Tamandua tetradactyla: one gene and its partners. The protein of the gene in region 1 interacts with the protein of each later gene in a pairwise test. Links are inferred from orthologs where the notes say so. Each region holds a gene or a part of one and is shown on either strand. Other genes may lie near its edges.

The links.
Region 2: the proteins of CCDC136 (region 1) and JMY interact in binary tests that used the Homo sapiens proteins (3 or more experiments, as listed by UniProt). The two-hybrid records come from large-scale screens. The link is inferred for Tamandua tetradactyla from reciprocal best matches to the Homo sapiens genes CCDC136 and JMY.
Region 3: the proteins of CCDC136 (region 1) and FAM161A interact in binary tests that used the Homo sapiens proteins (3 or more experiments, as listed by UniProt). The two-hybrid records come from large-scale screens. The link is inferred for Tamandua tetradactyla from reciprocal best matches to the Homo sapiens genes CCDC136 and FAM161A.
Region 4: the proteins of CCDC136 (region 1) and HMG20A interact in binary tests that used the Homo sapiens proteins (3 or more experiments, as listed by UniProt). The two-hybrid records come from large-scale screens. The link is inferred for Tamandua tetradactyla from reciprocal best matches to the Homo sapiens genes CCDC136 and HMG20A.

The regions. Positions count from the first base shown.
Region 1 is NC_135327.1:170,216,206-170,224,661, reverse strand, and holds the start of CCDC136 (coiled-coil domain-containing protein 136), read right to left. Parts: upstream 3,268-8,456; 5' UTR 3,253-3,267; coding exon 3,195-3,252; intron 2,439-3,194; coding exon 2,331-2,438; intron 742-2,330; coding exon 490-741; intron 407-489; coding exon 332-406; intron 1-331. UniProt on the Homo sapiens protein: May play a role in acrosome formation in spermatogenesis and in fertilization.
Region 2 is NC_135347.1:52,427,621-52,435,756, forward strand, and holds the start of JMY (junction-mediating and -regulatory protein), read right to left. Parts: upstream 3,245-8,136; 5' UTR 2,936-3,244; coding exon 1,907-2,935; intron 1-1,906. UniProt on the Homo sapiens protein: Acts both as a nuclear p53/TP53-cofactor and a cytoplasmic regulator of actin dynamics depending on conditions. In nucleus, acts as a cofactor that increases p53/TP53 response via its interaction with p300/EP300.
Region 3 is NC_135343.1:34,621,208-34,629,259, reverse strand, and holds the start of FAM161A (protein FAM161A), read left to right. Parts: upstream 1-4,690; 5' UTR 4,691-4,781; coding exon 4,782-4,970; intron 4,971-8,052. UniProt on the Homo sapiens protein: Involved in ciliogenesis.
Region 4 is NC_135338.1:65,792,048-65,799,635, reverse strand, and holds the start of HMG20A (high mobility group protein 20A), read right to left. Parts: upstream 3,128-7,588; 5' UTR 2,141-3,127; exon of another isoform or gene 1,970-2,140; intron 1-1,969. UniProt on the Homo sapiens protein: Plays a role in neuronal differentiation as chromatin-associated protein. Acts as inhibitor of HMG20B. Overcomes the repressive effects of the neuronal silencer REST and induces the activation of neuronal-specific genes.

The DNA of each region.
Region 1 (8,456 bases):
AGAGAACAAAGGGATGTAGGAGTGGAAGGAGAGCGCTGAAGGAGAGAAAGAGTAGAGAGTTAATTAGAGGGAGGTTAAGAGATGGGAGGGCAAGAAGGGGAAGGGGGAGGTCAGAAGAGTCAGGTAGACATGCAAAGAAGAAAGGAAATTAGGTAAAGGAGAAAATGGAGAGACAAAGAGAAGAGAGAAGGGTGAGAATAGTAGAGAAAATTTAAGTAAAAACACTGAATTAGGTTATTTTTTTCTGCCATGCTTCAAACTGTCAGGGGAAAAGTACTTGAATGGTAACATAGGTGGCCACCGGCCCTCCAGTCCTAGACCTGAAAGTTACCTTGGAGCTGCTGGATCTGCTTGGTGAACACCTCTGCCTGCTGGGCACTGGCCAGCCGCTCATCCTCCAGGAGACCTGCAGAGAGAGGAAGGAACAGAGTCAGACAGGAGCACAGCACCTTTGAGCCCAGGCCCTCAGTTCCCGACACAAGCACTCACCCTGCAGCTCCAAGGAGTCATCCTCATGCTGCCCGGCCAGTTCCCGGGTCTCCTCCAGCTCTGCCACCAGCTGGAGTACCTGAGCCCTCAGCTCCTCCAGCTCCGTCTCCGTGAGGCTTAGGCCCCGGTGCTTGCCAATCGACAGGGAACCCACACTGCCACCTTTCTGCTCTTGTTCTTCCTCTTCTTCCACCTCTTCTTCCTCCTCTTCCTCCTCCTCCTCTTCATAGAGAGCTGGGAGTAATACCTCCCCTGGGAGAGATGTCCATCTCATCAGAGTAAGAGCCAACTGCTTTCCCACAGTCCTTTAAGCCCTCAAACTCACTACCCCAAGGCAGAGATAGTATAATAGTGCCATCTGGTGTCCCCCACAGAGGGACAGGACCCAAGCTCATGATGAGTCATTGGGTGTGAGTGTCAAGTTTGGAGGTAGCGCTTCCCAGGCCCTTTGCACCTGCACCATCCTACCACTGCCTTTGGGCAAGTGGATTAGCCTGCTGCTGGCTCAGTCACGTGCAGCTTGCACAAGATACTTGGTTCTTCTAATCCTGATCTTTGGATAGTGGGACAAGTGGCCAAGAAAGAATTCAGACACTGTGCATGTCTTTAGGTCGAATGAGGCAAGAGTTATGCTTCAGAATTTGTAGACAGTTAAAAAATTATCTGGGTGGCTTGTGAAAAATTAGTCTTTCTATAATAAGAAAGCATTTCAGTAAGAAAAAACATCCAAATAAAATGATTCATAGTGTTTTACTGGACAAACTTTGGGGCCCTATCAAACGTTATGTTATTAAGTAGCTTTTTTGAAGTTTTCGACAAGGCTGACTCAGCCTTCTTTTCCCTGCTGGATGCCATGAGGTCTCCTCTCCTCTACCTGAGTGTTATGACGCCCCACCTCCTCCCTTGCTGACCATAAGGCAGTTCTCAGGGGAAGTCTTAGATTGTCCTTGTGTGTAAAACAAAGCTCATCATTTTAGTGCATTAAGAACTTGGGGTGATAGAGCCTCAGTCTCTGGCTAGTAAGCATCCCCTCCTTACTGCAATGCAGTTACTCTAAATAACAAACTCTTGTCTAGATAGTGATCGTTTGCTTTGTTTTAAATCCCTGAATCTCTGGTCTTATTTTCTCCAATCAGCATCCTGAGGTTCACCTGGGTCCCCTTGCATCATCTGTTCCTGTTGGGGACAGCAGGGTATGCAGAGGGGCCTGGGGACACTTCACAGGAAGTCCTGAAAAACAGACCAGTGTCTTTCCAGGGGACAGTGTGGGCCGCACCTGACAAATCACATGCGTGTGGTGGGATGTTGGCCCTCTCATCTGCTCCCTTCCTAGGCCCTCTCTTTCAGGCAGTAATCTGTCCTAGAGAACCAACGCCACAAAGCTTCCATCAGAAGTTGATGGTGGTGGCACCAGAAAGACAGCTCAGATGCCCACCCCCTAATTTTTTTTTTTTTTTCCGCATGGGCAGGCACCAGGACTCAAACCCAAGTCTCTGGTATGGCAGGCGAGAATAAGGCGAGTCACCACTTATCACTGGGTGGGTAAGCAGTGATAATAACCCCCTGCTGAAAGGCTGCGTCAGAGCTCTGACCAAGCAAGGCCTCTTTCTTTGTCTGCCAGCTCCCCTGGGACACACAGCCTGGTTAACGAGGTGACAGAAGCCCCAGAGGGAGGCACCCTGGATTTCCCTTTAAAGCCTGAGCCCTGGGGAGAGGGCTGAGGTGAACTGAGGAAGGGCTGTGTCCCACTTGGGAGCTCTAGGGGTCAGAGAGGAAGTGAAAGGGAAGGGAAATTGGGCGTGTGTTGGGGGATGGGGTGGAAGCCTTTCGGGAAAACTCACCCTCCATAGCTTGCATTCCTCGGCGTTCCAGGGACCCCCAACGTTGGCCTCTCTTCCTCTCACAACCCTCGGACCCCTCATAGGAGCCTAAAGTAGTTACTGTTGGTCCTGTGCACAGTGAGAGGAGGGATTGTGGAATGTGAGGGCTTGCTGGGGGCTGGGGTGAAGGGAGAAAGATAGAGGGACATGCCATCTAACCCTTTGGAGCCCTGGGATTTTTAATCCCAGTGGAGGCCCCTGACTCACTCTTGTCCAGCTCTGCAACTCGACCGCCCTACCTGGGGCGCGCTCACACTCGGGCTGCCAGAACCCCCAGCTCTGTACTGCCCAACCTCATCCGCACCTCCTCCTTTAAGCTCCTCTGTCTTGCACAGTCAGAAAGAGGGTGTGTATATATTTAGCCCGGAAGGGATAGGGAGGAGGTAGGCAAGATAGAAGAGTCTAAAAGGCTGATGTGGCGAAAGGAAGGGGATGGAGGTGATGGGGGAGAGGGCTAGGGGAGGGAGCTGGGGCCGCTCCCATTCTCTCAGGGGACCTCGTCCCTCCCTCCTTCGCCCCGCACTCCGGAGCCTCCGGGGCCATTGGGTGTTCAGGGTCTGGGCACCCAGGGGCTGTGAGTATTATCGGGGCTGGAGAGGCCAAATGGAGAGGACTCAGGGGATGGACTGCCAGGGAGGATGCGGCCAGTGTGTGGAAAATGGAGACCGGGGCCCGGGGGGAGGACCAGGATGGAGGGAGGAAGACTTAGGGAGGAAAGGTGAGGAGCAGAGGAAGGAGGAAGGGAGGACCTGGTGGTCTAGAGGGAGGAGAGATGGAGACGAGGAAGGAGTGGCGGTGGTGAGCAGGGAGGGGGGCGGCTCTGACCTGGGCCCGGGCAGCTCCAGCCCGCGGCTCCCGCGCCGGCCCCGGCGCCCGCCTCCATGGCCGCTCCCTCAGCAGCCGCCGCCGCCCGGAGAAGAAGCCGCAGCCGCAACCGCCGCCGGAGAGGCCGGGGACCCGGAGCCCGGAGCGCCGGGAGGAGGGAGGGCGGGCCGAGGGGGCGGGCCCTGGCTGGACCACCTGACGCCGAGCCCGGCCGGCTCCGCCCGGAAGCCCGCCCCCCCGGCCGGCTCCGTGACTGGGCGAAGCGAGCGGGCGCGGCAAGGCGGGCGAGCCCCTCCGACACGCCCCGGTTCCCGCGCTCAGGGAGAACCCGGAGCCGCCGGGCCCGGACCCCCGACGCAAGCCAGCCGGAGCTTACGGGCTGCCACGAGTGGGAGCCACGAGTGGGAGCCACAAGCTCCGCTGCTTCTCGCGGTGGGCCCTGCCCCGAGTCGATTGCGCGCGGGGGTCCCTGTGCGCCCTGTGTCGGAGCCCGGTCCCGTTCAGTGGTGGTGGAGGGAAAAGGCAAGGATGGATGAATCCTCCCGGCCTGTTTCCTCCAAGCGCGCAGACACTCGCGCACACTCCCCACCCTCCCTCACCAAGGAGGCCCCGCGCCCTCCACGTCCCCGCCGTCAGCGCCGACCCGGGTCCGGGGCGCGGGTTCCCGCGCTGCAGGCCGCGACTTGCTGGCCCCAGCCCAGCGCCCTGGCCTCTCGCGCCCCAGCGCAGCCCGCTGTCGGGAGGAGGGAAATTGAGGCCGGGATATGCCAACAGCGGGGCCGGATTCACTTTGCCTTCCCCGAGCTCTCAGCAAGCCTGAGCCAGGGGCCTTTTTAGTAGGGGCTCCTTAGTGACCCCACTTGGCCCTCCTCTCCCTGCTGCCACTCCCATGGGCCTCGAGTCACGTCTCCTACCCCGCCCGGCAGCGTGCTCAGAGTGAGCAGTGCTGATTTTCACCCTCATAGAAAGGTTTGGAAGCCAGTGGGCATATGTCAATTATTCAATCATTGATTTAAGGAATGTTTACATCTTCTCTTCAGGTCTCAACCCCAAAAGAAGTGAGGACACTTCCCAGCACGTTCAGAAAATTGTTGGGAAATTCCTAAGCTGGGAAGACCACCAGTCTCTTCCCTTGCTTAGCCCCTCACACTGGCCCTGGACGTATATTGTCTGTGTTCACTCCTACAGGTTCCCAGGTTCCCAAGTCCTCCGTATCTGAACATTCTGTTTCACAGAAAGTAAGCCTTTCCTTCGTTTACTTTCCACCCCTCAGTTTGGAGTCACCTCTAGGCAGCCTTCCCTGAGGCCCCGGGCTACCCCAGGGAGGTGCCTTCTGTGTTCTCCGGTAATACCCGGTCCTCCTTTCCTCTGTTGCAGCACCAGTCATTCTGGGTTGTCAGAATCTGGTTTTTACATTTCTATCTGCCCAATGTCTTGAAGGTAGGGAAGTATCTTAAGTCTTCTTTGTATCTCCAGCACCTGACAAAACGCCTGATAAAAAGGAAAAAACTAATTAAGGTAAATCTCCCAAATTTACCATTAATGCCCCTGTCTTATCATGGAGCATAAGACTTCACACTTACAGGGTTAAATGTTGTCTAGAAATGCTGTAAGTCTGTTCATCTCTCTTTCACCCTTCTCCCCACCCCCAATTGTGGTTCTCAGAGATGAGGAACAGAGAGATCCAGGGTGTTTTCCTGAAGAGTTTGTGGGTAAGGTGACCCAGTCTTGGGAAAAGACTGCTGAGAAAGCCCACCTGCACCCCTTCTAGAGGGCCAGGTGCAGACATCAGGCCTGTCCAGATTTGAGGAGCTGGGCTTTTGTCAGGGGTGGTGGAAAGGAGCTGGCAGTGGTAGTGGGATGCATAGAAGCCCTGGGAATGATGGAGACTCCTGCTGGAAGCCGGATGACTGCGCATTCTTCCCTGCACACTCCTTGTTCCAGCTCAGCCCGCAGGGTCAAGTTAGCAGTTGGCCTTGACTACTGACTGTGACACTCTAATCTCTCCTCAGGGAGGGCTGCTGATTCTGAGGATCAGGACTAATCTCTCTCTGGCTTCTGGTTCCCCTTAATTTGGGAATACTCAGAGGAAACCAAAACCAGTCTATTCTCAGGACCTAAACTTGGGCAAAACCTGGCCAGACCAGTACTGGGTTGAAGGTGGGAGAGGGTTTAGGAGGCAGAAGAAAAGGGTTTAGCAGGTATGGGTGTGGGGAGGGGGAGATGGACTGTGGTCCAGGGGTGCATCTCAGAAGAGCCCAGGAGTGTTGGAATGTCAGCCAGATGATCATCTTGGGCTGGGGGTGGAGGTTGTATGATCCAAATTAATCCTTGTAATCCCTGGATTCAGGACTCACTTCCTTCCTAATCCCATCCCAGCAGATCAGCCTTCCTGAGGACTGATAGAGCCATTTATCCCCTTTCCCCTTATTTCTAAATGCCTAGATCCTTTCATTAAAAAAAAGAAAAGGTGTAAACATTCAAAACATGCAGAAAATTACAGTAAAAAGAATAATATAACTAATATCCCTGTGAATAGGGTGAAATTCATGAGTGAATTTCATGAGTGAAATCCAACAAGTGTTAATATCTTTTCATTCAGAGGCAGCCTTTCTGTATGTGTTTTTACAGCTTTACTGTATATGTGTGTATCCACAAACAATACATAGTATTGATTTGTATGATTAAAAACTCTAAATGGTGTTATACTGTACACATTCTTCCTCAAACCTCCTTCTCTTCCCTCAATATTTATTTTAGATTTGTCCGTGTTTTTATACATATTCTTCCAATTCATGAATTTCAACTGCTGCATACTATTTCATTTTTTAATATACCATAATTTACTTCTTTATTCTTCTGCTCTTGGACATTTAGGCTACCTCCAGTATTCCATATTATAAATAATGCTGCAATGGACAGTATTGTGGATGCCTCCTTGGATATATGTGAGTATTTCTCTAGAATAGATACCTAGAAGTGGAAGTTCCAAGTCATAGATTATGTACATCTTAAACTTTGCTTTTATTGCCAACTTACTCTATAAAGTAGTTGGACCAATTTATACTCCACCAAAGGAGGCTTACTTTCTTTTTTTTGTCCCTAACCTCTACTGATTTGGAAATTTACACATTCTATTTCTACTGTTGTAGGATTACTTTTTTCATTTGTTTGTTTGTTTGTTTTTTTAGTGATTACCTTTTAATATATATTTTTAACAATCTTAAATCTAAGGTGAATCAATCATTATTATCATCATCTGCCTGAGTAACATAAAGACCTTAGTAGAGTTAATTCTGCTCTTTCCCTATGATCTGCCACATTTCTATTTAGTATTTTACCTTGTTTCTAATCCCCATTAATTGTTGATGTTGTGGTGGTGGTGATTATTATTATTATCATCTCTGGGGTTAGTGATTATTTGGATTTACTAACATATTTATACATTTCTTTGTTCATCATTGCTTCTCGCACCTCATTCCTTTCTTCTTGGTTCAGTTTCTTTCTTATGGAGGCTATTCTAAGGTAGCATTTAAGTAAAAGTCTTTGAGCGGTAAGCATTTTCAGTCTTTTGTCTTAAAGTGTCTTTATTTTACATCCTGGAAAAGATAATTAAGTGGGCTTAGAACTCTATGTTTACAGTTCTTTTGGCTTTTTGAAGATATTCATTTTTTCTATAATTTTTCATTGCTAATAAGAAGTTGGCTGCCAATATAATTGTTTTCTTGGTTGGCGAATATTTTCTTTCTGGTTGATTTTAAGATTTTCTCTTCCTTTTCAGCATTCTGCATTTTTACCCCAATGTGTTTATGTGATTGGGACTTGGTTTATTTTCTCAACTTGAGGACCTGTGTTTTTCTTCCATTTTGGAAAATTCTCAACTGTTTTCTATTGGAATATTACATTTCCCCTATTCTCTCAGTCTCTTTCAGTAACTTTTATTAGATATATATTATACTTTCTCGTTCTTTCCCTCTTTCTTTGAACTATTCTTTCATATTTCCTATGCCATCACTTACCCACATTTTGAATGATTTCATCACCTCTATTTTCTTTAATTGAATTCTTTCTTTAATTGAATCTAATCTGCTATTAAATGCATCAAGTTTTAGTTTCAATGGTTGATTTTCGTTTCTTGACATTTTATTAGTTTTTTTCAAAAACCTGCCTTTTTTCATAGTGCCTTAGTTTTACATTACAGTTAATTTTCCTCCCTTTATTTTTTCTTTTTATGTTCTACATTATAGGAAATTTCAAAATTATATGAATGTAGGAATACAATATTGAACATCCATCATCCAACTTCAATAATTATAAACTCACAGGAAATCTTGTTTCATCTAGAACTCCATCCGAAGTCCACCTCAAATATTTTTAAGCAAATCCTAGATTTCATCTATATTTCTTTTAAAAAACCTAACCATAAATAATATCAAATAACCAGCTGGCTGATTCGAATGATTTAAGTAAGACCCATACCTTGTAACTGGTTGCTATCTTACTTTAACCTCCTTCATTGAATGTATGGGTTCCCTATTTTTCCTTGTTTTATTTTTGTTAAAGTCCTTAAATATAGCTTTTTTTTAAAAAATAAAAGCAGAGCCCATAGGCTTTCCTGATGGATTGGATATGGGATGTGTAAAAGAGAACTCAAGCTGAATCCAAGTTTTGCCTGAGAAATTGAAGTTGTTATCATGTGAGATGGGCAAGACAGGAAAAGGTTGTGGATGTGACCTGTTGAGTTGTGTTGGTCTATTAAGCCAGCACTACCCAAATGCAGTCCATATACCTGTTGTGCTAGTTTGAAACTGTCATGTACCCCAGAAAAGCCATGTTTTTTAAATCTTCATTCAATATTGCTAGGTGGAATCTTTTTGATTGCTTCCATGGAGATGTAACCCACCCAATTGCGGGTAGTAACTTTTAATTAGATGGTTTCTATGGACATGTGTCTCCACCCATTCAAGGTGGGGTTGCTTACTGAAGTCCTTTAAGAGGGAACCATTTTGGAAAAAGCTTTAGTACCAGCAGAGCCCAAACAGCCAGACATCTTTGGAGATGCAGAAGGAAAATACCCCCGGAGATGCCTTATGAAATGAAGAGAGAAAGCTAGCAGATGTTGCTGTGTGCCTTCCCAGGTGAGAGAGGATGTCCAGAAGCCAAGACCCCAGCAGACACCAGCTACATGCCTTCCCAGTTGACAGAAGTGTTCCATATGGTATCAGCCTTTCTTGAGTGAATGCAACCTCTTGTTGGTGCCTT
Region 2 (8,136 bases), on another chromosome or scaffold:
AGCTGGGGAAATAAAAACATTGCTTGTGAGCTCTGCATTACCACATTACCAATACCAAGCCCATGACAAATACCACTAATCAATCACATTACCCTTTTCCTCTACTGAGCCTAAGAATTTCTATCTTCCAGTAGAACTCAAGGTTGACATTAGAATTGAATTTATTTGTTTAAAAACAGCTATTTTTTAAATGCTGTTCAAGTCAACTGAAAAAACACCACAAAAAAACCCACAAATACATATTTATGTTTGATGGATTTATAATAAATTTCACTTATTTTGAAAATAAATTTCCCAAAACACAAAATAGTTTAGATTTTTCCCATTACAAAAAATAAAACATACGGTCAATAATAACCTTTATTCTGAAAAGATATTATTTTTAAAAACGGTAACCTCCTTACTTAAAGACTCTTATTAAAAGAATTTTAAAAATATGAACAGGAATTTTGAAGGTACAAAAAAAACCAGTATGATAGATAACATGTCAAGTCATAGAAAAAAAACACTAACTTTGTTAATTCAACTTGCTGTTTAAAAGAAATAGTTCAACAGTAACAAAACACTTAAGAGAATATATGGGATTAAGATTTCTGTCTCACTTCCATCCAACACAAATGTGAAGTAGAACACAGACTCCAGAAGTGAGATGATAACAAGGGAAATAGAAATAGAGCCCTGGAAGTCTAGGATCACACTGTGATGAGTGACTTTAGTATGAAGTTAACTAACAGCAAGTGAAAATCTGGATTCAGGAAGTTTTAATACAGCACTGTGGGATAAGTGAGCAGGAATTATTTCCTAAATACTCAAGTGTGGTAAAGAAAAAACATGTAATATTCTATTACAAAACCATTCAGCTCCTGGCCCAGCATAATAGTAAGATTCATACGTATATGGGTAAAGCTAACAGATATGACATCACAACCTCAGGGATATGTACACCATGAAAAGAGACATATAGCCACCCCAACATCAACTTCGATTTGAACTTATACTAAAAATAATAAATTGCTCTGAGAAAGTTAATATCCATTCGGAGAAATTAAGTATATTTTAAAATAGAAAATAGTTTTTCAGTAAAGTTCCTTGAGTAGAATCTGGTAAGATAGTCCAACCTCAAATCATACCTATCTTACACACTGCGAACCAACAGATATATACTCATTCAAACATTTTACTATTTCTTGTTATTTTAAAGACTACATAGTTTGAGAAAGCTTTTGCACCTCTTTCTACTCTTACCACGTATAAAAAGTATAATAGGCATTCTACACAGAACCTTTTTTTTCTCTCTAAACAAACAGGAGTAAAACCTGAGTCATCTGCAATGACTTGAAATACAGTGTGTGTATAAAACCTTTAAATATCTATTTGCATTCAACTGCCAGTTAGTGTTTTTTAATTTGGTCAGGCCACTCATTTGGTGGAAAATGGATTTAAAATTTGCCTAAATTGCTACACTACACTGCATATGAAAATTAAAAATAGAAGGTCAACTTTGCTACATCCGACAAATCATTTTGCATACATAGACATGATACCAGGAAAAGAAGGGGTGATATTTGGGCAGTTACTGCTGGAAAGAGCTTTAGAGAAATGCTCATTTACTAATACCTTTTTTTGGAGTGGCTTCAATTTTATTACCAGTACTGAGTAGTAAACAAAAATCATTTACTATATAGAACCTATGTGATAAACAGGGAAAGGAAATCTAAAGCCAATTAAGAAAGACATGATTTTCCTACCACTGTAAGGCATGAAAGAGGGTTGGATGGGCAGGACCCCTCTTACCTTCCCTGTCCAGAGAAACAAGTATCCCAAATGCGCACACGCCAGAACAAGACTCCAGCCTTTGGCAATAAGTAACCAAAAACGATGACTGGAACCCAGACTAGGTTCTTACCTCCTGGATACGTTTTCTGGCCCGCTGAAGCACTTCTTCATAACCCTTCTGCCGCAGCTCACTGAGGCTTTCATAATACTCCTCAGGGTCGTCGGTCTCGGTGAAGAGGACCTGGGAGAGGATCTTCCAGCCGCAGGTGTCCAGGCCGTGGCCCAGATAGACCTGGAGCTGGTAACAAAGGGTGTCGATCTCCTGCTCGGTCATCTCAGGGGCGCCCCCGAACAGCACGGTCCACATGCCCGAAGGTTCCTCGGGGAACACCGGGAGGCACGGCTCCAGCTGCGAGTTCACAGAGCACAGCTGCTGGTGGACGGCGCGCAGATCCTGGAAGGAGAAGAGACCGGCCCAGCTGCACTCCTCGGCCTGGGACTCCAGTTCGGCGGCGAGCGACGGCTGGCCCGCGTCCGAAATCAGGACTGCCTCGTCCTCCCTCACCATTTCCAGCACCTCTATCTCCTCGGAGACCGCCCCAGCGGTGCTCACCACCCGCACTGACGACACCGGAGCGTCCCCGGGCGCCGGAGGGGCTATCGCAGCGGCAGACGCTGCCGCATCTCTAGCTTCGGATTCTCTCCGAACTGGGCTGGACTTGGCCCGCACTGGGCTCCTGAGATGACTCTCCACTCCTTTGCCAGCCGGACTCCGGAGCAGCGGGTCCCCGCGAAGACTGCGCGCGCTCCGCGAAGAGCCGCCCTCCACGCAGGCCGGGCTCCGCCGGGACCCCGGGCTCCTACCCAGAGCTGTAGAGGCGGAGGCCTCGGGCCGACCCTTGCCCGCCGGGCTGCCCGGCCCGCGGGTCCCATCGGACGCTGGTCCTCCGGATTCGGCGCCCCCTCGCGCCCCCGCCTGCTCCCGGGAGCCGCTCCTCTGCCTCTGGGCCGTCCGGTTGTGGCAGGTTATGGCAAACTTGCCCTCAATCTCGTTCCAGGCCACAATGAAGACGAATTTGTGCTTCTCGCGCTCGTCGAACACATGGGGCCGCACCGCCACCCAGTCCGACTCGAGCGTCTCCTCAAGCGCGAACGACATGGTGGCTCAGGGCGCGGGGCTGCGGGGGAGGCGCCGCCGGCACTGCCCGCCCGAGGACACACCGGCTGGCTGCGCCGAGCCCCCCTTTTGCCCTCACCGGGCGCCTTCAGCCATCTTAGCGCGCCGGCCGGCTCTTCCCGCTCCCTCGTCAGTCCCTCCGCACTCGGACCCGCCGCCCTTCTTTGTGGCGCGGCTCGGGAAAGACAACAACGCGTCCCCGGAGCAGGTAGTTCACATGGTCACGTGCGGCGGATCTGTTTACCAGCCCCGCGCAGCAGCGGCGCCTCACGCCCGCCCGGGCCGACCCCCGTGCGGCTGCGCCGGGAGCCCCTGGCGAGGCCGCGGTGCTGCGTCTGCGGCGCGCCGGAGGTGAGGCGCGGGTCTCGCGCTCCGGTCCGTGGGCGGCGACGGCCGTGGGTTTGCCTCCGCGGCTTGTCTGGGCCGATCTCCCCGCCCCTGCCTCCTCCTCCTCCTTTCCCCGGCCACCCGGAGCCTGCCTGACGGATAGGAGACTCTCCTAAACCGTGCGCTTCAGCATCGCCACAATGTTGCCATTCGGTTGCTGACGTCGGCGGCTCCACGAGGGACGTAAACACGGGCACGTGCCGCACGCTGGTGACGCGGCGGCGGCGTCGCGCGCATCCCGCCGCGCCGGCGCCGCCTCCCGGCGTCCCCCGCCTCCTTCCGCCGGCGACCGCGCTCCCGGCGTGGTTCAGTTCAGCCTTCGCCTGGGCTCCCGTGTGGGCGGCGTGCTGGCAGTCACCTGGGGGGCGCTGTGAGAGTGGCAGGTGTGCCCTGCGGCCCAGGTGGCGTCCGAAGCCCGGGGGAAGAGGAACAGAGGCAGGGGAGCTGAGACTTTTCGAACTTCAGGCATTCATTGGGATCCTAAAATGTAAATTTGCCTACGTTTTACCTGCGGGAGTCGGAAAAACGCCCAATAGCATTAACGCAACTATATGCTAAATTTTATTAGGCTTCCCAGACTGTTGGATTCTTCCCTAAAACCCTTGAGAAACTATTTAAGATATGAAAGGATGATGTCTGAAGATAACCCAGTAGTACTCCAAAAGAAAATAAAATGAAAATTCTGTCATGTTCTAAAAGGAGCAAAGTTTACTTTTCAAGCCATCGGTGTTTCTTCCCGTTTTATTATTGTGTACCTCCTTTTGAGGTCACTGGACTTGAGCTCTTCTAAAGTTTTATTCAATTATCAGAGTTCCTGAATGAAAAAAAAAAGTCCATATAAATCTGAAGAACTCCTGCTATTCATACTAAACTATGAAGAAACATTCTTAATATTGCTTAGTGGATTTTATAGTCCAGTTTACATTATTTTTTTAATTCTTTTTTTTTTTTTTTTACATGGGCAGGCACCAGGAATCGATCCCGGGTCTTCTGGCATGGCAGGTGAGCATTCTTGCCTGCTGAGCCACCGTGGCCCGCCCCGGTTTATATTATTACCTATCTCTGTCCTATTATGTGCAATTCGTATTACAGGCTTTCTGCACCCACAGCAAAGTACCCTAGGAATTATTTGTTCTTTTACTTTTATCCATGTTTCCAAAATATACTCGTTTCTTTGGACTAACTTTGCACTTTTAGCTATGTGTGATTCAGTGTTATCCTGAAATCCAAATAAACAGCCAAAAGTTTTAGCCCTGCGGCTCAGCTAGAGCTTTAGATCTATAGATCTGCTTTGACAAGAATAAATAAATAATGAGAGTCACTTCTTTGGACAAGCTAAGCAAAAAGAACTTTGGTTTTTTAAAGTTTTTGCAGTTCTGTATGTGGAACAACAGACTTTCAAGGCTTGCAACTGTGGACTTGTGTTCACTCTCAAATGCTAATAAATGTGTTCACTCTCAAATGCTAATAAAAAAAACTTTTGAAAAAGAGAAAAACTTTTGCAAATCTGAATTAATAAACAATAGACATAGAATCTGTCCTTTTCTATAAAAAATTTGCTACTAGAAGTTTTTCTAGCAAAAAGTTACTGACAATGATCACTAGCTCTCTTCTAGCAATGCATTATTGATAGGTTTTAAATCTCAGAATGAATGCTGACAATATGTTTGTGGGAGATACTTTTACTTATATGTATGTTAAAATTGTAATATTTATCCACAGATATAAAATTATGTATAACAATAAGGTTAGAGAAAATGGGTTTGTGATTCCACAGGTGTTAAATATTTTCCCCCAATACTCTGGCCACTGTCAAAACAGAAATGCTTCAGTGTTTCTTATTTACTCTATTTTAGTAATTGTCATCCTAGAAATGAAAAACAAAGCAAAATAAAATTCCCCTGGCAGTTTACTGTCTACTCTACTATCCTTTATTTAAGTCTTTATCAGATTGTCAGATAAGATCTCTCAGTATATAAATTACTCTCTGAGAATAAGTAAAGCTACAGAAAAACCACATACACGGTGGCAGCCTTGTAAAGGTCCTGAAAACTATTATCTCTAAATTTTTTAAAACTATTGAAGATTGTTAGATAATCAGGGAAATATTTTAACTCTTTAGGCCTTTTATTACAATTATAATAGCTTTACATAGCAATTTTTAAATTGCACAGCATTTTCAGGTACATATTCATTTTATCCTCAAAATAATCATGTCATAAAGGTATGAAAGGAGTAAGTATCTTTAATTTTATATATAAGCAAAAATCAGCTCTGATTAGTTAGGTCACACATCCCAAGGTTGGGAGTAGGGAACAACTAGAGTTCAAGGGCCTAATTCTAAATCCACTGCTGTGCCAATTAGATTCTTCCAGAAACAGACACTAAAAAGAAGCTAGCAATGGAAAGGTTTATGGAGGACCACACCTGTAAAAGAAAAGGAGGCAGAGAGCAGGATTCAGAAGACTAATCTAACAGGGAGCTCCAGAACAAAGAATACCCTGTAGAGATGTTCCCCATTGGGCAGAAATTGTTAGGCCTTAAGCATAACCTACAAAGCTGAAGTTAACTCCAAAGACACCAACAGCCTGAGGCTAACCCCACTCCTTACAGCTGAACAGTAGGTGCCATCTTGAAGGAGGATCTCTGTGACACATCGCATCTGCCACCGTTTACCTTGTATGCTATATGGATCTACTTCCCCATTACATATTTGGGGAGTAGCTCCTTCAGGGATCTAAACGGCCTCTTTTCCTGAGAGGAAACTTAAAAGAATGAGGTTAGTGGGATCACCTATAGTCTCCATTATTGCAGATGATCTCATGTCCCAAACTGATAATCTTCATCTCCCTTCCCCACTATCCATTCTAAAGTCCCTTCACCCTCTGCAGGCGTCAGTTGCTTACCTGGTAATATATCCCAAACCCTCATCCAGGAAAGGTCTGACCCTTTGGTAACTTTACCTGTGTGTAGCTTCCATCATTGCACCACTACATTTGTTACAATTGGGCAAGAGTGTACCAAGAGGCACCCAGGTTCTACAAGGATACTTCTCTGTTCCTATCATGTAACAGCAACCCTACCTCCTCCTGCTGATCAATGTCAGTTACCTTTGACGAGAGGGTGACTCCTCCTCTTGCCCTGCAAGAGCCCAAAGTGTCCCAGTGGCAGCTGTAACTTGGAGTTCAATGGGACCTTTGCTATGTCCTGGGCAAGAATGCATCCATTTTTGGGACCAGGACCTCTAACCCTGCAGAATCCAGAGCTGTGGATATCCCTGCCCCCTCATCCTCATTCTCCCCCCACCTCTCTTCCCTTTCCGGTAAGTAATTGAAAGTAATGGTAAATGAGAACATTCCCACTTCCACCCTGGAAGCCAGAACCATGTATTCGTCCTATAGAGCACACAGTGCTATATAAAGGTCAGTGATTCAATGCATATACCACATCCTGGAGATGGAACCCCATCCAGGTATTGCCGCTGAGCTGATGTTTCAGTTGTACCTTCAGCATGCCATTCCAGCATTGATTTAGGTCAGCAGCTTCTAGATCCATAGTATTTGTTATGACCTGTGCATCTGTAAAATGGCTTCCCTGGTTGGATGCAATGTTGTGTTTCATGTCTGTAGAACAGGCATTATATCAGTGGCTTGATAGTGGTGCTGGCTAAGACCTTGAAGGCAGGAAAGGTACACTTCATATCTAGATCGTCTATTCCCATGAGAGGAAAAAAAAAAAAAAAACAGCAATAACACTGGCCCTTCCAGATGAAAAGGGTCCAATGTACTACCAAATGACTCCTCAAGGAATAGTGCCATATTGGGTGCTCAGTGATTGTCTCCTTTGCTGGCAGATTGAACGTTCAAAGGTGAAGTTGCTAGATCAGCCTAGGTAAGTGGGAGTCCATGTGTTTGGTCTATGGAAAGCTCCATCTCTACCCCTATGGCCCTATCATCTGTTTGCCTCCCATGCCCATGAACATCCACTAAATGCTTTGTCCTCTTGGTTGTTGATGCCCATTCCACGTGGGTAGTTTCTGGTGACCATTAATGTCTGATACAAAAATCTTCACAACTTTGTTCCCACTCTCATGTAGTCACTTACATGTCTCTACTCAAGATCTCCTTGTCTCTGATCTTCTAATCTTTCTCCTTCCAGGTTCCAAACCATTCACCACGGTCCATGAGTTCATATATATTTCAACTTCAAGTGACTTCCCCTTTCAAAAATCTTGGATTAACAGTTGCACCTCTTGAAGGTCTACCCATTGGGAAGATTTTTCTTCATTGCTGTCTTCACAGTCATCCTTGAATAAAACTATAATGCAACCAGCATTTTGATTTGCACCCACATACCAAAACAGCCCATCCATAAACTAAGCTAGGGCTTTTTCCTCTTTCTTCAGTTGTATAGGGTCCCAGGAACACTGCTACATGATGTTGGGATGCTATGATAAGTGTCATGATGGGGCATAATGCTGGATACTTTTGGAGATTTGGACCCACTGCTTATGCAACTTGCTTGTGCCATCTTTTTCTGCTCGTGTTCAGTCCTAAATGTACCATTTCCATTTTATGATGGATTGCTACTGAGCCCAGATGACTTCATCACCTGTTGCCCAACTTATGATAGGCAATTTCGGACTCATGGTTACATGGTTAAGCATTCCAATTCTACCAGGGCCCATAAGAATGCTAGGAGCCACTGAATGAAGCTGCATGTGAGAATGATTGAGGAGGGCTGGGGACATAAATGAAATCAGAAAGAAAGATAGATGTTAAAGATTGAGATGGCAT
Region 3 (8,052 bases), on another chromosome or scaffold:
AAGAACCAACAAAATAAATCCCCTTTTATTAAAAGCCAATCCGTCTCTGGTGTGTTGCATTCCGGCAGCTAGCAAACTAGAACACGTATCTTAGCAGTTTTATATTGAAACACTTAATTTCCATTATCAGAGAGAAAATTTTCACCATCGAAATCCACCTGTTTCCTTTTTAAGCTCTTATTTCCTGTCTGACTTCTTGATTTTCTAATACATTTTCATTTTTACTTCTGTCTGGATGGACATTTTCAAAACTTGTTCCAATTGCTGTTGTTTCAACAGATGGATTTACACCAGAAAGGCTATTTTCTATGTAGAGAACACATAAAGAGCTTGATGCAGAATTATTACTATTCCATTTATCCTTGCTTATCATGCAGTCATGTTTATAAGTACAGGAAAATTGGGATCTTATTAAGGTTTGCTTCACTTATTTTTTTATCTCTTGCATTGACTTTTGGATGTGTTCTCCTAGGGGGTTTACTGTTGAGTTTTTTTACCTGTGTGGGAGATCTGAAAAGTGTAAGAATAGAAGTTCCACTATTATTAATTGTATTTTCATCATCATATAAAAGTTCTGCTTTGTTTTGGATAGGAGCATTGGCTGCTTCTTTATCCATAAGAACTAGTAAAATTTTTATAGTATCTCTACCGCAGTATGCAGCGTCACAGTGTTCTAGTTTGCAGCGTCATCGTGTTCCAGTTTGCTAGCTGCCAGAATGCAATATACCAGAAATGGAATGGCTTCTAAAAAGGAGAATTTAATAAGCTTCAAGTTTACAGTTCTAAGGCTGAGAAAATGTCCCAATTAAAGTGAGTCTATAGAAATGTCCAATCTAAGGCATTCAGGGAAAGATACCTTGGTTCAAGGAGGCCGATGAAGTTCAGGGTTTCTCTCTCAAGTAAGAAGGCACATGGTGAACACAGGGCTTCTCTCTCAGCTGGAAGGGCACATGGCAAGCACAGCGTCACCTGCTAGTTTTCTTTCCTGGCTTCCTGTTTCATGAAGCTCCCAGGAGGTGTTTTCCTTCTTCATTTCCAAAGCGCTGGCTGGTGGACTCTCTGCTTCATGGTGCTGCAGCAATCTCTGCTCTGTCCGAATCTCTCGCATTCTCCAAAATGTTTCCTCTTTTACAGGATTCCAGTAAACTAATCAAGACCCACCCGAATGGGTGGAGACACATCTCCCCCAATCCAGTTTAACAACCACTCTTGATTGAGTCACATCTCCAGGGAGATGATCTAATTACAGTTTCAAATATACAGTATTGAATAGGGATTAGAAGAAATGGCTGCCTTTACAAAATGGGATTAGAATTAAAACATGGCTTTTCTAGGGTACATACAGCCTTTCAAACTGGCGTACACAGGATTTATGGCATATAATTTTGGCTGTGCAGGACTGATGTTAGTAGTGCTAACAGTTACTATTTCTTGATGAGAATAGATGATATTTTCAATCCTCAAACCCAAATTCTGAGCAACTTCTTCTACTGCTTTATAGAAAGGATCCCTGCCGTTCTGGCTTTTAATCAGGTATATCTTTATCAATGAGAGTATATGACCTCCTGCAATGATGACTTTAAGTTAATTTTAAAACCACTCCAATAAGTAGGTATTATTATCCCTAAATTACAGATGACAGAACTGAGTCTCAAGGAGGTTAAATAGCATGTCCAAGAACATACAGTGAGAAAAGTTGGCAGGACACATCATATTGCATTCTATCATATGAAGGGTTATTATATGGAAGAAGAAATTAAGCTAGCTAGTAGCGATCTAAAGCAAACCAGAAACTGGAACAAATATCATCAAATGACAAGTTTTTGAAAAATCCTGAAATCACCATTTCTTTATACCCAGACTAAACCTGAAAGAATCTGGGTTGAAGCCCCTAGTCTAGATGACCAAGCCAGGACGAATGTAAGAAATATACAGGAGGAAGAAGTTTGGTACATCACAAGGAAGCAAATAGAGGTGTCCAACAATAGGACAGGGTTTTTTGAAGTCATGATCTCCCCATCCCCTGAGATATCCCAGGAAAGACAGCACAGTCCAAGAGAGAAGGTGGTGTGGAAAGGATGGACTAGGGGTCAGACTGCCTGGGTGCCAGTCACAGCTCTGCAACTTCCCACTTTGGGTAAGCTCTTTAACTCTCCGTGACACAATCTCTTCCTCTGTAAAAGAATAACCATAGCTTAGTTACTCTCATAGGATTGTTATAGGGAAGGAATGAGTTTATATAAGCAAAACAATTAGAATACTAGCTGGCAGAATTACCACTAGCAATTATCATTATCATTATTAGATGATCTTTAAGGTCATCAAGGATTCTGTGATCCTATACTGGGTTTTTAGTAAATTCTTTTTAAGATAAGGTAATAATAAAGTAAAAAAGGCAGAAAGCTTTGTACTTGGTAGTATGTGCTTACTAACAAATTTTGAGCCAGTACAACATACAAATAATTAGGAGATATTATAGTATGTTAGAAATTTTACTGAATATTAATTTATTCAATACTAGGATTTAATTTGTAAATACATTTTCATAGAGTTGTAAAATCTTATTCATTAAGATTTTAAATATTCCCCCCTCAGATTTCTTCTACTTATTCAGAGAGAACTTGCTAGTAAAGGGCAAATGTCAGATATGCTCTATTATTCATTCATTAAAATTTTCTGACCACTCTCTTTATTGTACACTGATCATGTATCCTGTACTTGTATATACTGTATTGATGATAAAGTGTGTGGTGGTTTAAAGCTATATGCGCCCCAACAAAACATGTTCTTAAATCTAATCCATTCCTGTGGGTGTAAACCCATGTAAGTAGGACCCTTTGAAGGGGTTACTTCAGTTAAGATGTGTCCCACCTCATAAGAGAATGAAATTCAGACAAAGAGAATGAAAGCCTCAAAGGCAAGAAGCTGAAATCAACAAAACCCAGAAGACAAAGGAGAGACTGGCAGACACTGCCACATGCCAGGCCATGTGGCAAAGGGCCATAGATATATGTTTTCAATTCTCTTACATATATGCCTACGAGTGAGTCATATAGTGATTCTATGTTTAACTTTTTGAGAAACTACTTTCCAGCTATTTTCTTAAGTGACTATACCATTTCACACATATCTAAAACATTTGACATACGGTGTTTTTGTTGTTACTCAATTCTATATATTTTCTAATCTCCATTATGAATTCTTTCATAACCTATGGATTATTTTTAGAAGTGTTTTTAAGTTTCTGTACAGAAAAGGTCTTTCTTATTATCATTCTTTTATTAATGTCTAACTTAATTGTATTAAGTGATCAGAGCTTGTTGATTGTATGACGTCAATCCTTTGAAACCTACTGAGTTAGTTTTATGACTTAATACCATGGGTACTTTCATAAATGTTCCGTGTATGCTTAAAGGAATGGATATTCTCGAACTGTGTTAAATATACATGTATGCTAGTTATGTATCATCTGATAGATATACATTATCTGATTGTTAATTGCACTGTTCAAATTCTCCTTATTCTTTTCACTGGATGATTAATATTTTTTTGGCTTGCCATACAAAGTACGGAAAGCGACTTGGGTGTTCCTTATGCTTAGAACTCAGCCAGCATTTGTTCCAGTGTGCCAAGCAAATGCTCAGCCAAAAATCTGAAGAAGGTGAGGGCATGGGGGGTTTTGCAGGTGCTCACACTCCCAATCAGCAAACAAGGAACGCTTGGTAAGAAGCTATCAGGCCATACTCCACGTGTGTATTAAGCAAAAAGATTCAAAGTGATGCAGCAAAGCATCTCTAGGTTGGCAGAGCACAGAGGGAGGGATTCCTATGAAGCCTGGCATCACTTAGTGCCAGGAAAATAAAAAAATAAAAAGGGCTGAGACCTTATTAATGGATTCTAGATGTTCTGCTGCACAATGGAGAAAAATTCTGTAACTTTATGGCGGTGAGGTCTGGTAATGGGCCAGCGAGGGAAGAGGATAGAGTGGGGAGGGGGATTGCGGCAGCCTCGGCTTCAGGAAGTAGGAAGGGCTGGGTAGCACGGGGCTGAGACTGCGCCTCGCTGACTTTTTTGAGGCTCGGAGTCTCTTATAACCACTTGGTTCCGGGGGAAGGTACCACATAAAGTCCTCGGACCCGGAGTGGGAGGACTTCATAGGGATGAGGTGGCGAAGGCTTGTGTCTGCCGTCCCCATGGAATTCACGCCTTCCAACTCAGCTGACAAAGCAAAAAAACGCCAGATTCACGCTACCTGGGCTGTCACTCACTGGTGGGTAGGGCAGGCTCTTCCTCACTCAGGCTTTTATCAGTCAGATCAAAGAAGAGTGGGACACGTTAGGAAGAGGGATGTAAAGCTGCCATCGCCACACAATATCTCCTCCTTTCCTCTCCGCTTCTGTCTCTACTAACGTATTATCTCAATGAATAAAACGTGTATTTTCTACATAAAACGCGTTATTTAATTAATACAATGTGAGAAATCTGCGTTTAGGCGTTGAAATGCGAAGGAGAAGAAAAAGTTCCCTTTTCCTCCAGTCTATTCCAAACCAGCAGTCGAACTCAGCTCTGACTTCCACTAATCAGGAGACACCCGACCCTCGTCTTTGGTAAAGTGAGAGGAATTTGTATGGCTTTTGGTCCCTCGAGGTGCCCGTAGCGTCCTTGGTTACCGCGCCCCTAGTAACCGCCCGCCCCAAGTAAGGAGCCGGCGGGTCGCCCGAGGCCGCTTCAGCTTCGCTGCCCGGGGCCAGCGCGGGCGCTCAGGCCTCGGCGGCGCGGTGATGGACACCTCGCACCGAGCAGCGAAGCTAGCGGCCTCTGCTCTCCAAACCCGGGTAGATTCCGCCCTGTACGAAAACGAGGACTCCTTGGAGGCCTTGGCGGCAGCGGCGGCAGCGGCAGAGGCGGCGGCCTTGAAGGAGTTGGAGGAGGAAGAGGAGGAGAAAACAGTGTTGCCGGCGCCGGCGTCGGTAACGTAGGGTCGGGACCCGGGATGCTGCCGGCCGGGCGTAAGCTGGGGGCGGGTGGGATCCCCACCCGACTGCGGAACAGGGTGGGAAACGCGGTGTCCTGCCCAGATCCTTCCCACCCTTTCTTTGTTCCCTCTCCCCCCACCCCACCCCCCGCCCCTCACGGAAGATACTCAAAACAGAGGCGTTGGAAAGTCTTTATAGTCACCAAAGAGAAGATTGTTGTAAAAATGTATTGAAGAGCATTTACCTCATTCCATTTCTATGAAGTTCAAAGTACAGAACTTTACTCCTTACGCTCAGAATGTCTTGGTATCGGATATCGCACCTCCAACCCCCCCCCCTCCTTTTTTAACTTGTAAAACTGATCTATTCCAATAGTTGATAACCCATAAAAACTCAAGTTAGTTAGCTGTGCTTTTCAGGTATGCCTTATCATCGCCTTAAGGTCCTAGTTATTAGTGGATCTAACACAATAAGTTAGAGGCAGATGTTTAAAACATCGAGTTTATATATAAAATAGAGAAATTAATTACTGAGGTTCTACGTGTTTCTTGATCACCTCTTCAGGGTGGAGTGAGAGCCTTTTCACTGATCTATTTTCATTGCCGAATGGGTGTGGACACCTGGCCACCAGGTGGAGGACAGAGTCTGCCATCTGTTCTGTTTGCTTAAAAGATGGAAACCTTGAGTTTAAACTTAGCAACCTGCCGGAATAATGCTCCCTATTCTCGGTTAAGTTTTCTTAATACCATATGTCCAAAATTTCTCAGATACAAAGCATGGAATGGGGTTAATAGAAATCACTGGATATTTTGGAATTCTAATCTCTCTACTCTGTGTTACAGCTGTTCATGAGAAAATTGTAGCAGCACCTTTTATGGTCAGTATTTCAGCAACAGACACAAACTACTCATGATTATCCAGAGTAAGGCAGATTGAGACCTAGAACATGAATCAAGAGTAAGATTCCTAGGGTCAGTTTTGTTCATGATAAAATTTGCTCTCAACACAAGTTGCGGTGGGCAACAAAAGAGGCAGACCTATGGAGGGGAAAGGTTTGAATGGAAGAAAAAGACTTGGGGTCTTGGTTTAGGATCCAGGCTCTGCCATCTGCTAGATGACATTAGCACTTAACTTCCTTAAGCCTGTTTCCTTATCTGTAGGAGAATAATAATTCTATCTTTCTATCTCACTGTCTGTTATGAGAACCAAATAAGAGAATGTGTGTCTTATTTAAATACCGGTTTATATAAATTGATAATAACAGCAACTGCCAGCGGGACTGTTGTTTGAGCAACTCACCCAAAGATTAAATTCTGTCTGGCTTCCTGTGGTAGAGGAGTCAGTCATTCCTATACTTGTAGCTGTACTTCCCACATGTCCTGTTAAACTGCAATTTGTATTTGAAATGGTTGTTACCTTAGAATAAATGAGTTTACTCAATAGGCTAGTTTTGGAAAAGCAGGATCCTGAAAACAGAAATGATGGAAGTCTTATGAATTTACCTGGCTATGAGGAGCCAGTAGCTAATCTGGATAAGCAGCCCCAATGGACCTGATGAGCCAGAGGACGCTGGGGAAAGGAGAATAGAACTAAAAAGACAGGAATAAGAGGTGGAGCACAGGAGCCAGGCTTTGTCTTCATCACGGCTTGGCTTGAGTCTCTAACTTGATTTTCAAAGATAAATTTGCCCAACTTTGTCATCTATAAAATGTAGTAAACTCAGACAAAGAATCCACCCATAAGATTGATATAAGAACTAACTGCCACAATAGGCCCTTTCAGTCAGTTGGTTTTGCCAATGTCAGACCATCCCCACGTGCCCTTGCCATGTTGGACACTACCTCATTCCCTGAGGGAGGAGGGTTGGGACAGTGTCAGTTTTTAGGCCTTATTAGGTGGGTGATGATGGCATGAATAAAGCAATATTTTATAGTTTGCATTAAAAATTCCACTGCATTTCCTAATTGGGTGACATTCTGTTTTCCAAGAAATATTGAGCATTAATTAAGAGCTATTCAATGACTGTGTGGTGGTGAGTGAAGCAGACATAGTCCACATCCTTACAGAGCTTCCAGTCTAGTGTGGAAGTTAACAGTAACAACAATAAAAATTTCAATCAAACGATTATAAGACAAGAAATTTTGGGAAAGAAATGAATAGGGTACTATGATTAAGAAAGGAATAGATGGGACCTACTTAAATGAGTTGGTAACGTTAAAGTGATGTTGATGAATAAGAAAGAGCAGCCATTTGAAGAGTGGGGGTGGGAAGAACATCCCAGGCAGAGGGAACAGCATATGGCAAGGCCCTAACATGGGAAGAGAAAGAGCTTTGTGTGATTAAGGATCTGAAAGAAAGTCAGCAGGTCTGGAAAAGAGGGGGAGAGGTACATGGGGCCCTGGTCCCACAGAGCCTTATATACTAAGGGAAGAAATTTAGATTTATTCTATGAACAGTGGGAGGTTGTTGAAGATTTTTAAGAGATATGACATATTCCTATTTATGGTTTTAAAAAATTCACTCTGATGGCTTTGTGGAGAATGATTGGAGGACTGATGAAGTGGAAGTAAGAAACCTGTTAGGAGGCTGTTGCAGTAATTCAAGTGTGTTAGGTGGTTGCTTGAACTTTGGGTCCAGGGGGATAGTGAGAAGTGGACAAATTTCTCTAGAATGGACAGGACTTATAGTTGGAGTGGATGTAAGGACCAAAGCAGAAGAAAGATGAAGACTGCTCATTCCCATGTTTCTGGTTTCAACCACTGCCTAGAAAGTAATGCCATTTACTGAACTGGGGAAGAAAAGGCTTTGGTGGGGATTGGGAATCAAAGTTTCCATTCTGGATATGTTAAGTTCAAGATGCCTGGAGTCCTCTGGGGACTGGGCTGAAGATTTATATCTGGTAGTTTTCAGCATTTTTAAAACCATGAAAATGAATGAGTTCACCCAAGGGCTTTAAAGAACCTCACCATTGCCTTCGTGTGTCCAGAAAGGAAGGGGCTATTGCTCCCTCCCAACCACATTTTCTCTCCTCCTCTCCCTCCTGTGGATTTTCCCATCATCAGTTTGGTCTTCCTTT
Region 4 (7,588 bases), on another chromosome or scaffold:
AATTTCAATGACACGGAATCCTAGAATTCTGACCTATTGTTTCAATATTTCAAACTGCTCTGAACAGTGTATCCAATGACAACTTTTGGAAAATTGTTACCTAATCTAAATGCTCTAAAAAAAAAATTATGCTCCCTTTAAGAAGGCAAGTAACGGACTGAAAATCTCAAATTCATTCACTCAAAGTCACAAGAGTCCACATACAAAATCTTTATTTTCTAATTTCAATACTGTTTTTCTATTAAAAGGCACACAGAAAACTGCAACAAAGGGTACTACCTCCAAAGGAGGCTTTGGAAGATAGCAAGTCTCTCCACAGAGTTAGGTTTGAAAGAACAGACTGATTCCATGACTGTCCCCTCTCTACTTTTCACAAGCTTTTCTAATATTTCTTCTTTCATGGAACCAGTGAATAACTGCCACTTATCATAAAACATCTTTTAAGATTTGTGCTTTATATACTTCTTTCTTCTTCCATGGAACAGCATAAATACCAATTTAATATACTCCTTTGCTTCCAAAAGGCAATATTGTTTCTCAATAAATATTTTATTCATGTATTTTCCCCCTTTATTATAATATTTGGTTAAAAACACATTTCCCAAATAGCTTTTCAAAAGTAAGTTTAAAAATTAAAAATTCTAAGGCTAGATTAAGTAACAATCCCACAGGAAAACATGTACAGGACTTACTGTTTTAAAATATTCTTGAAAGACATTACAGTCCTAGGTTCACTTGATATTCTAAAATTAGTAAAACTGTTGAGATTTCACAAAGTAAGCTCTAAAGAGTCCTTTAGCACATGTCTCGCAGGCGCGCGCACACACACGCGCGCACACACAAGCAAAGGCAAATATTGTGATACTTCACAATAGAAGCCAGGGAATCAAAACTATTGCGTGTTTATTACCACTCTCTACACAGTTTCTTATAAAAAATAGAGAATACAGGAAAAAAGGAAAGTTCTTTTTTAGTCATCTTTTATTCTTTTTTGAATCCATTTTCCCCCCTAATTAAAATGTGGGTTGAATCTCAGGCACCATAAACCTTAAAGTTGCAAAGAACAGATACCACTTTAAAAAAAAAAATCGGTGCTCAATTTAATTATATTACAAGGGGGGACAATGTACTAAAATACAACTTTCACATTTAAGAATTTTTAAGCCTGAGGGAGTTGTTCTCCAGCACAGGGCAAAACCTGTAGTCTGGAGTCAACAGGTATAAGAATTTAAATATACCAAATTTTTTATGTTAGTTAAGGTGACACCAAATATCTGAGAACTACAGCAAGACACTTTCACTCTGATAACGTGAAGATGCCTCATAACTTAAGTAAAATATTCTGTCCTCTCATAAATGACCTCCTTAAAAAGAGAAGCTACAGAGCGCATATCAAGGCAGAGAACACTACCAAGGCTGGACTTTAGTGGAGCGGGGTAGGCAATCCATGAGTCACACAAGAAAGTATCTCGTCTTGCAGAGATGGAGAATTTTAAAAAGCGATTTTGAATTCTTTTAAGTAAAAAAGCATTAGGAAATTTCTGTTGTGGAGGAAATTTTCCATCTTGCATTTGGTAATAAAACTCACATAAATTCTGGTTGGAGGCAGGGGATTAGCACAACTTGATGGAATAACCTAATTTACAAAAAAAAAAAAAAACAAACAGTCCCAAAGCTAGAAGATTCCATCTATATAAACAGCACCAACCACCTTCTCAAACCCTCGTCCGCACTGGAAGTGGGTTGGACACCCCAAAACCATTGGCCTACCCCCCACAGGAAGTGAATTACGTCCTCCCCCACCCCAGGACAGCCTATCACCCCTCCCCCAACGGAAGTGAGGCTCCCCCATTCAATCAGCCTCAATCCGTAGCTAACCAGTAACAACAACGGCAAAAGATGGATGATTTTCATGGGCTAAAGGACACTTCGACTGTGGTCACCCCCCAAACTCGCCTTGCTTACTGACCTGCTGACGAAAGAGACAAGCAGGGGCCTGGGACCTAAAGAAAGTCCCTTGTACAGAGGAGAATTCCCTCAGCCCCTCTCAATCGCCTTCACTCTTCGCACGTCGTTGTCTCACAGCTTGACAAAAATTCCTCCGCAGCACTTTATTTTTATGTCCTTTCTTTCTCCTTACCTAATCTCTTAACCACCTCCCCATAGGTAGCTTCTCTTATCGCAGTAACATTTAAAATTGTTCCGGTGAGGAGAAAAGTGAAATATTTCCGATTCCTGCAGAAAAATTAAGGGATTATTTTGCTCAAACGCGGCAAAGTAGTACGTGACTACGCAAGGTGCGGCAATTCGCGAAGGTTTCTGGGAGATGTAGTTCTTTTATTTTCTCTCTAAAACCCGCAGGAAGTAGCGATGTTAAATTGGTTACTACTATGCACAGCAGTCCTTGAAAACACATATTCTGAAGTCAACAGCAGGCTGACATAGTCAAATGGTCCATACGTCGTTCCCCTTTACCCTCTGGTATTTAATTGAACCCAAATATTCCTTCTTGCGGGCTGTCGGCCCTGTCGCCCCGCCCTCTGACTATGGCCACGCCCCCCCGCCAATCAATCGCTTTTAGGTCTTATCCTCCTTGGATGGGAACGCGGAGAGGAGGGGACTTGCGTTGACTCCTCCCATTACACAGAGGCGAGAGAGGCTGAGGGCCCGTGCGCGCGCGCGTGCTCGCTCCCGGGAAGAGCTAGAGGAGAGCGGCGCACGGGTGCGCGCGCAGAAAGGTGGCGCGCGGGTCTGGGAGGAGGCGGGCAGGCTGGTGGGTTGGGCGGGTGGCGAGCGGCCGGGAGCGCGCGGTGGACTCAGCGGCGGCGAGTAGTTTGCTAGTTGTTGTTAGTCAGTGCCAGTTGTTCGGCAGCGGTGGCGGCTGCAGTCACCAGGAAGGAAACGGGACGCCTGCGATGGTGGTCCCCGCGGCGGCGTTGTGCGCCCTTCAGGTAACGGGAGGGCTGTCCGCGTCCTCTCCGCTCCTTTCTCACGCTTCGGGTCATGGGGCTGGGGTCGCTTCGGGGTGAGGGCTCTGACCCGCGGGAATCCGGGCCGGGCGGCGCGGGGTCTGGTTGGCGCCGCCGCGGGGGCTTAGGCGGCCAGTGCGTCCTGCCCCGCTCGGTCTCTCCGGCTCCGGCTGGCCTCGCGCCCCGCCGGCGCCGCGCACCCCCTCGCGCCCCCCGCCGCCTCCTCCCCCGTCTTCGGCGGCCGCCCAGATCGCGCGGCGCCCCCCAGAGGAGGGAAAGTTGGGACCTGACGGTGAGGGACGCCCCCGGGCGCGGCTGGGTGGCTGCTGTGGAAAGTGAAGCCCGGAGAAGCTGGACGCGGGAGGCCGGGGCTGGAAGGGCTCCTCTCCCTCCTGCTAAGTCTACACCGTCCTCCCGCTCCCAAGCCGGGGAGGATCCGGCGCAACCACGCCAGTAGCGTCGAGAAGAAACCCTGCTCTCTTCCCTCTGCTGCTGGTGAGCCCCCTGATTGCGGGTTCGCTTGGTGTTTGGGGGTTTTGAGTGGTTCGGTTAGCCAATTTCTTTCTCTTTTGCCCTTTGACTCATCGTCCTTGCAACTTTTTTTTGCTTCCTTCGAGGAGGTCTTGCTGCCCAAAATCCCCCCTTCGCATGCATCATCTGTCTGAGAGCTTGATTTCGTTTTTCATCCTGTGACTGTGTTAAAGACTGCTGACAGCAACAGGAAAAAGTACCCCTCCCCCCTTTAAATGTTACTTTCTTGCAATCTGCTTTTTTTTTTTTTTAAATCCAAGTTTGGGAATTTGGGAGCTGTGGAATGAAGTTATTGGAAGGCTGGCGTTGAGGGGGTAGTGATGAGTTAGAGGAAAACTATGGTTTCATCTTAATTGGCCTTGCTATAGAAAACCTAATAAGTTTTTTTCCCCTGCCTCTATTAAATATGGTGAGATTATACCTTGAATTAAGTACTTGGAGACTTACATAAAAGACTGTTATTAGGTCATCCGGTGATGTATGTGAACAGCTTTTCACCTGAATTGAGATTGACTTGAGGATTTTGTTCTGGGGCCTACTTACAGATGGAATGTTCAGCCACAGTTTTTTTTTTTTTCTGATAATTAAAGTGATACAGTAATGTGTGTAGTAGGAGAACTCATATTGCTCTCTGCAGTGTGGAAATGAAAAACGTGAATTATCCACAGGGGTAAAACTTTCCGTGAGCAATCTTGGATACTCACTTCATGATGGCTTCTCCTGTAATCTCAGAGCATTTCTAGATATCTCAATTCACTGACTACACTAATTATTTTCTGAAGTCTCTGGGCACTTCTCTTTGGTGACTCGTTTTGTAAACTATAATGGTAGGTATTTCTTAGCTTTAAAAATGGGAGTAATAGCCTCAGCCCAGAGTTTAACAGTTAACAATGGAAGCAAAATTCATACCATTGCTAATGAGTTTTGGCTATGACCAAGTCACAAGCTATGTGAAAAAACAAGCCTCTCAAGGAAGAGGGGAAAATATTTTATCATTTCTTTATTTAGGAGACTCTAATGTGACTATCTTATGGGGGAAAGAAGTTAAATTATTTTCTTTAAAGCTTTTTGATGTGTAGATATAATGGTCCTTCCCCTTCCCCTATATTTAGGGATTGACGTTTATGTTCAACTCAATTCCAGAGTGGGAAGAGAAATGTTTTGGTGAAAGGAAAAGATAAGATTGCTTTGAACTATTATGATATTATGGCTATTCGTTTTATCCAATGATAGTACTGAGAAATTTTCCTGATAATGTTCATACCCCATTAACATTCTATCAGAATTCATTTTTAAGAGCATACCCTAAGGCCCATAAAGGAATAATGCCACTGTTTCCTGACAATCATATTGAAAAACATGTTTCTTGGATTCGTTAAATGTGTACTCACATAAATGTTTATCTTTGTACATTTATGGTAATGTAAATATTTAAGTCTGAGAACTTAAAAACTTTTATTTGCATACATGTTTTTTAACATCTCTTGGTGCCAACCATATTTGCCAAATAAACATCAGCCATAAATTCATGCTTTGGCACATTTCATATAATAACTCTTCTAAATTGCTCCATGGTGAAGCATCTTGAGATTAGCATTTGTTTCGTGAGAGAGATTTGTTGTTTTTAACTGTAATGATGTGCTGTTTAAGTGGAACAGGTGCTGGACTCTAGCTGTTTGTGTTGAGACCTGCCAAATCATACTCTTTTGTTGGATGGGTTAAGTAATTTAGGAACAAAACTGTGGCCCCAGCATGCTAAATTGAGTTCAAGTCTCCTTATCACTGCTGCAAATTCCTATTTTCACTGTAAGAGGCAGGTGTGTGTCGTGAGCTTTTATTTTATTTTTTTGCATGGGCAGGCACGGGAAACCGAACCGGGATCTCCCACATGGCAGGCAAGAACTCTGCCTGCTGAGTCACTGTGGCCCACTCTGTCATGAGTTTTTATTGTCTCATTGTTGATCTCTTCATTGTAATTCATAGTCCTTCCCCCTTTCCCCAAGTCTAAGCTCATTCATTGCTGATTTGCTTTCCTTGAAGAACTAAAATTCTAGTAACTTTCAGACCAAGAATATGTAACTCATATTTGTTAGACAAATGTTTTGAGTACCTTTTTAAAATTTAAATTAAAATTAAAAAAAAAAATTTTTGCATGGGCAAGCACCAGGAATCAGTGCCTTGCTGCTGGGTCTCCAGCATGGCAGGCTCATAACTGAGCCACCATAGCTCTCCCTTGAGTGCCTTTTAAGTGCCAGGTCTGATGGTCTGACTATATGTAGAATGATATCCCTTTCTGTAAGGAGCTTACAGTTTGCGGAGGGTGGGGGTGGGTGGGGGGAACGACCAATAATTACTTGCTGGTGAACCAGTAATTTTAATACAGTGTGGTATGCAACAGGGGTGTGTACACAGGTTCCTGTGGATGAAAGCATACAGGAGGGGTCACTGACTCAGGCTTGCAGTGGGGGGAATGTCCTGGAATGCATTTTAGTGGGTTACCTGAATTAATCTTGAATAATAGGTAGAAGTTAACTAGGTTCAGAAAGAAGAGAAAGGGTACTTTGGGGTGGTACTGTCCCATAGAAATATAATTTGAGTCGCAAATGAGAACCACATATGTAATTTAAAAATTTCTAGTAACCCCACATTAAAAAGTATAAGAAATAAATGAAATCAATTTTAATAATGTATTTTATTTAATTTAATATATCCAAAATATTATCACTTCATGTAATCAATATAAAAAGCATTATTGAGATAGTTGTCATTCTATTTTTTCATATTAAGTCTTCAAAATCTAGCACCTACACTTAGTTCATTGCAGGTACTCAGTAGGCACTTGTAGAGAGCACAGGTTTAAAACAGCAAAGGACACAGAGAGGAATGAAAGCGCATCCACTGGTGGATCACTAGGGGAGGACAAAGTATTCAGAAGCCAAATCATTGAATACCTTGTGAACCAAGCTAAGGAGCTTTACCTTTATCCTGAAGGCTGTGAGGATTTAGTGGGAAAAAATTTTTAAGCTGTATTATGATAGAATCAGATTTATGTTCTAGACCTATCATTTTGACAGTGAAGTAAATGCTGGATTAGCAAAACTGAGAAGAAGACCAGTTAGGAAAACATTCCTGGTGTGAAATGATGAAGGAAATAGAGGAGCAGGTAGATATATGAGAGAGAGATTTGGGAAGTGTTATCAACAGGACAAGGTAAGTGATCATATTATGGAGTTGCACAAGACTGAAGATCTAGGACAATGCCCACATTTGTGTTGTGGGCTACTAGAGAGAAAGAAGCCAGCCAACTGTGCCAGACAGACCAAAGATGAAAAAACGTCAACTCAAGAGATTTGTCAGGGAAATAGAAGGAGGAGAATACTTCACGGACCAGGACTACGGAACACAGTCTCATGCCATGAGAAAGCTAAGTAAGATAAGGACTGAAGAAAGTTTTGAAGACTTGGTGATTAAGGTGTCATTTGTGACTTCATATAGAGTAGTTAGCTACATTGTAGTACATTGAGGAGAAGAGTGAAGGACAGCTGAAAGTGTAGCTAATTGAGAAGGATACAGTGTTTTCAACAAAGGATTCTGAAGGAAAGAATGTAAATAGAGTTCTGATGCAGAGGATTTTGATGTTTGCTTTTTTTTTTTTTTTAAATTAAGAGTGTCTTGGGCATGCTTTTATGTAGGGACTGGAAAGAACTTATGGAGAGGGTGTGTATGGGAATTCGATTTTCTTCATAATCTTTCTGTGAACTTACAACTTCTCTAATAAAAAAAGTTATATTATATTTAAAAAGAGAACCAATGGAGAGAAATTGAGGGGTGTGTGTGTATATGCAGCCAAGGATTTTGAGGAGCTAGGGTGGAATAGGTCCAGGGCATAGAGAAATTGACCTCATTCTTTCTACATTTATTAATTGGAATTCTTCTGTAAGAAAGGTTTGTCTCATTATGTATTTTTCATCCAATCAATCATTTATATCAGTTTGAACTTATTTATTTTATTCTTAGGGATATATTTCAGTGCTATCTTATTTATTTTGTTGCCCAAATTTTTTCAGTTTTGGCCGTTGGAAGCACTT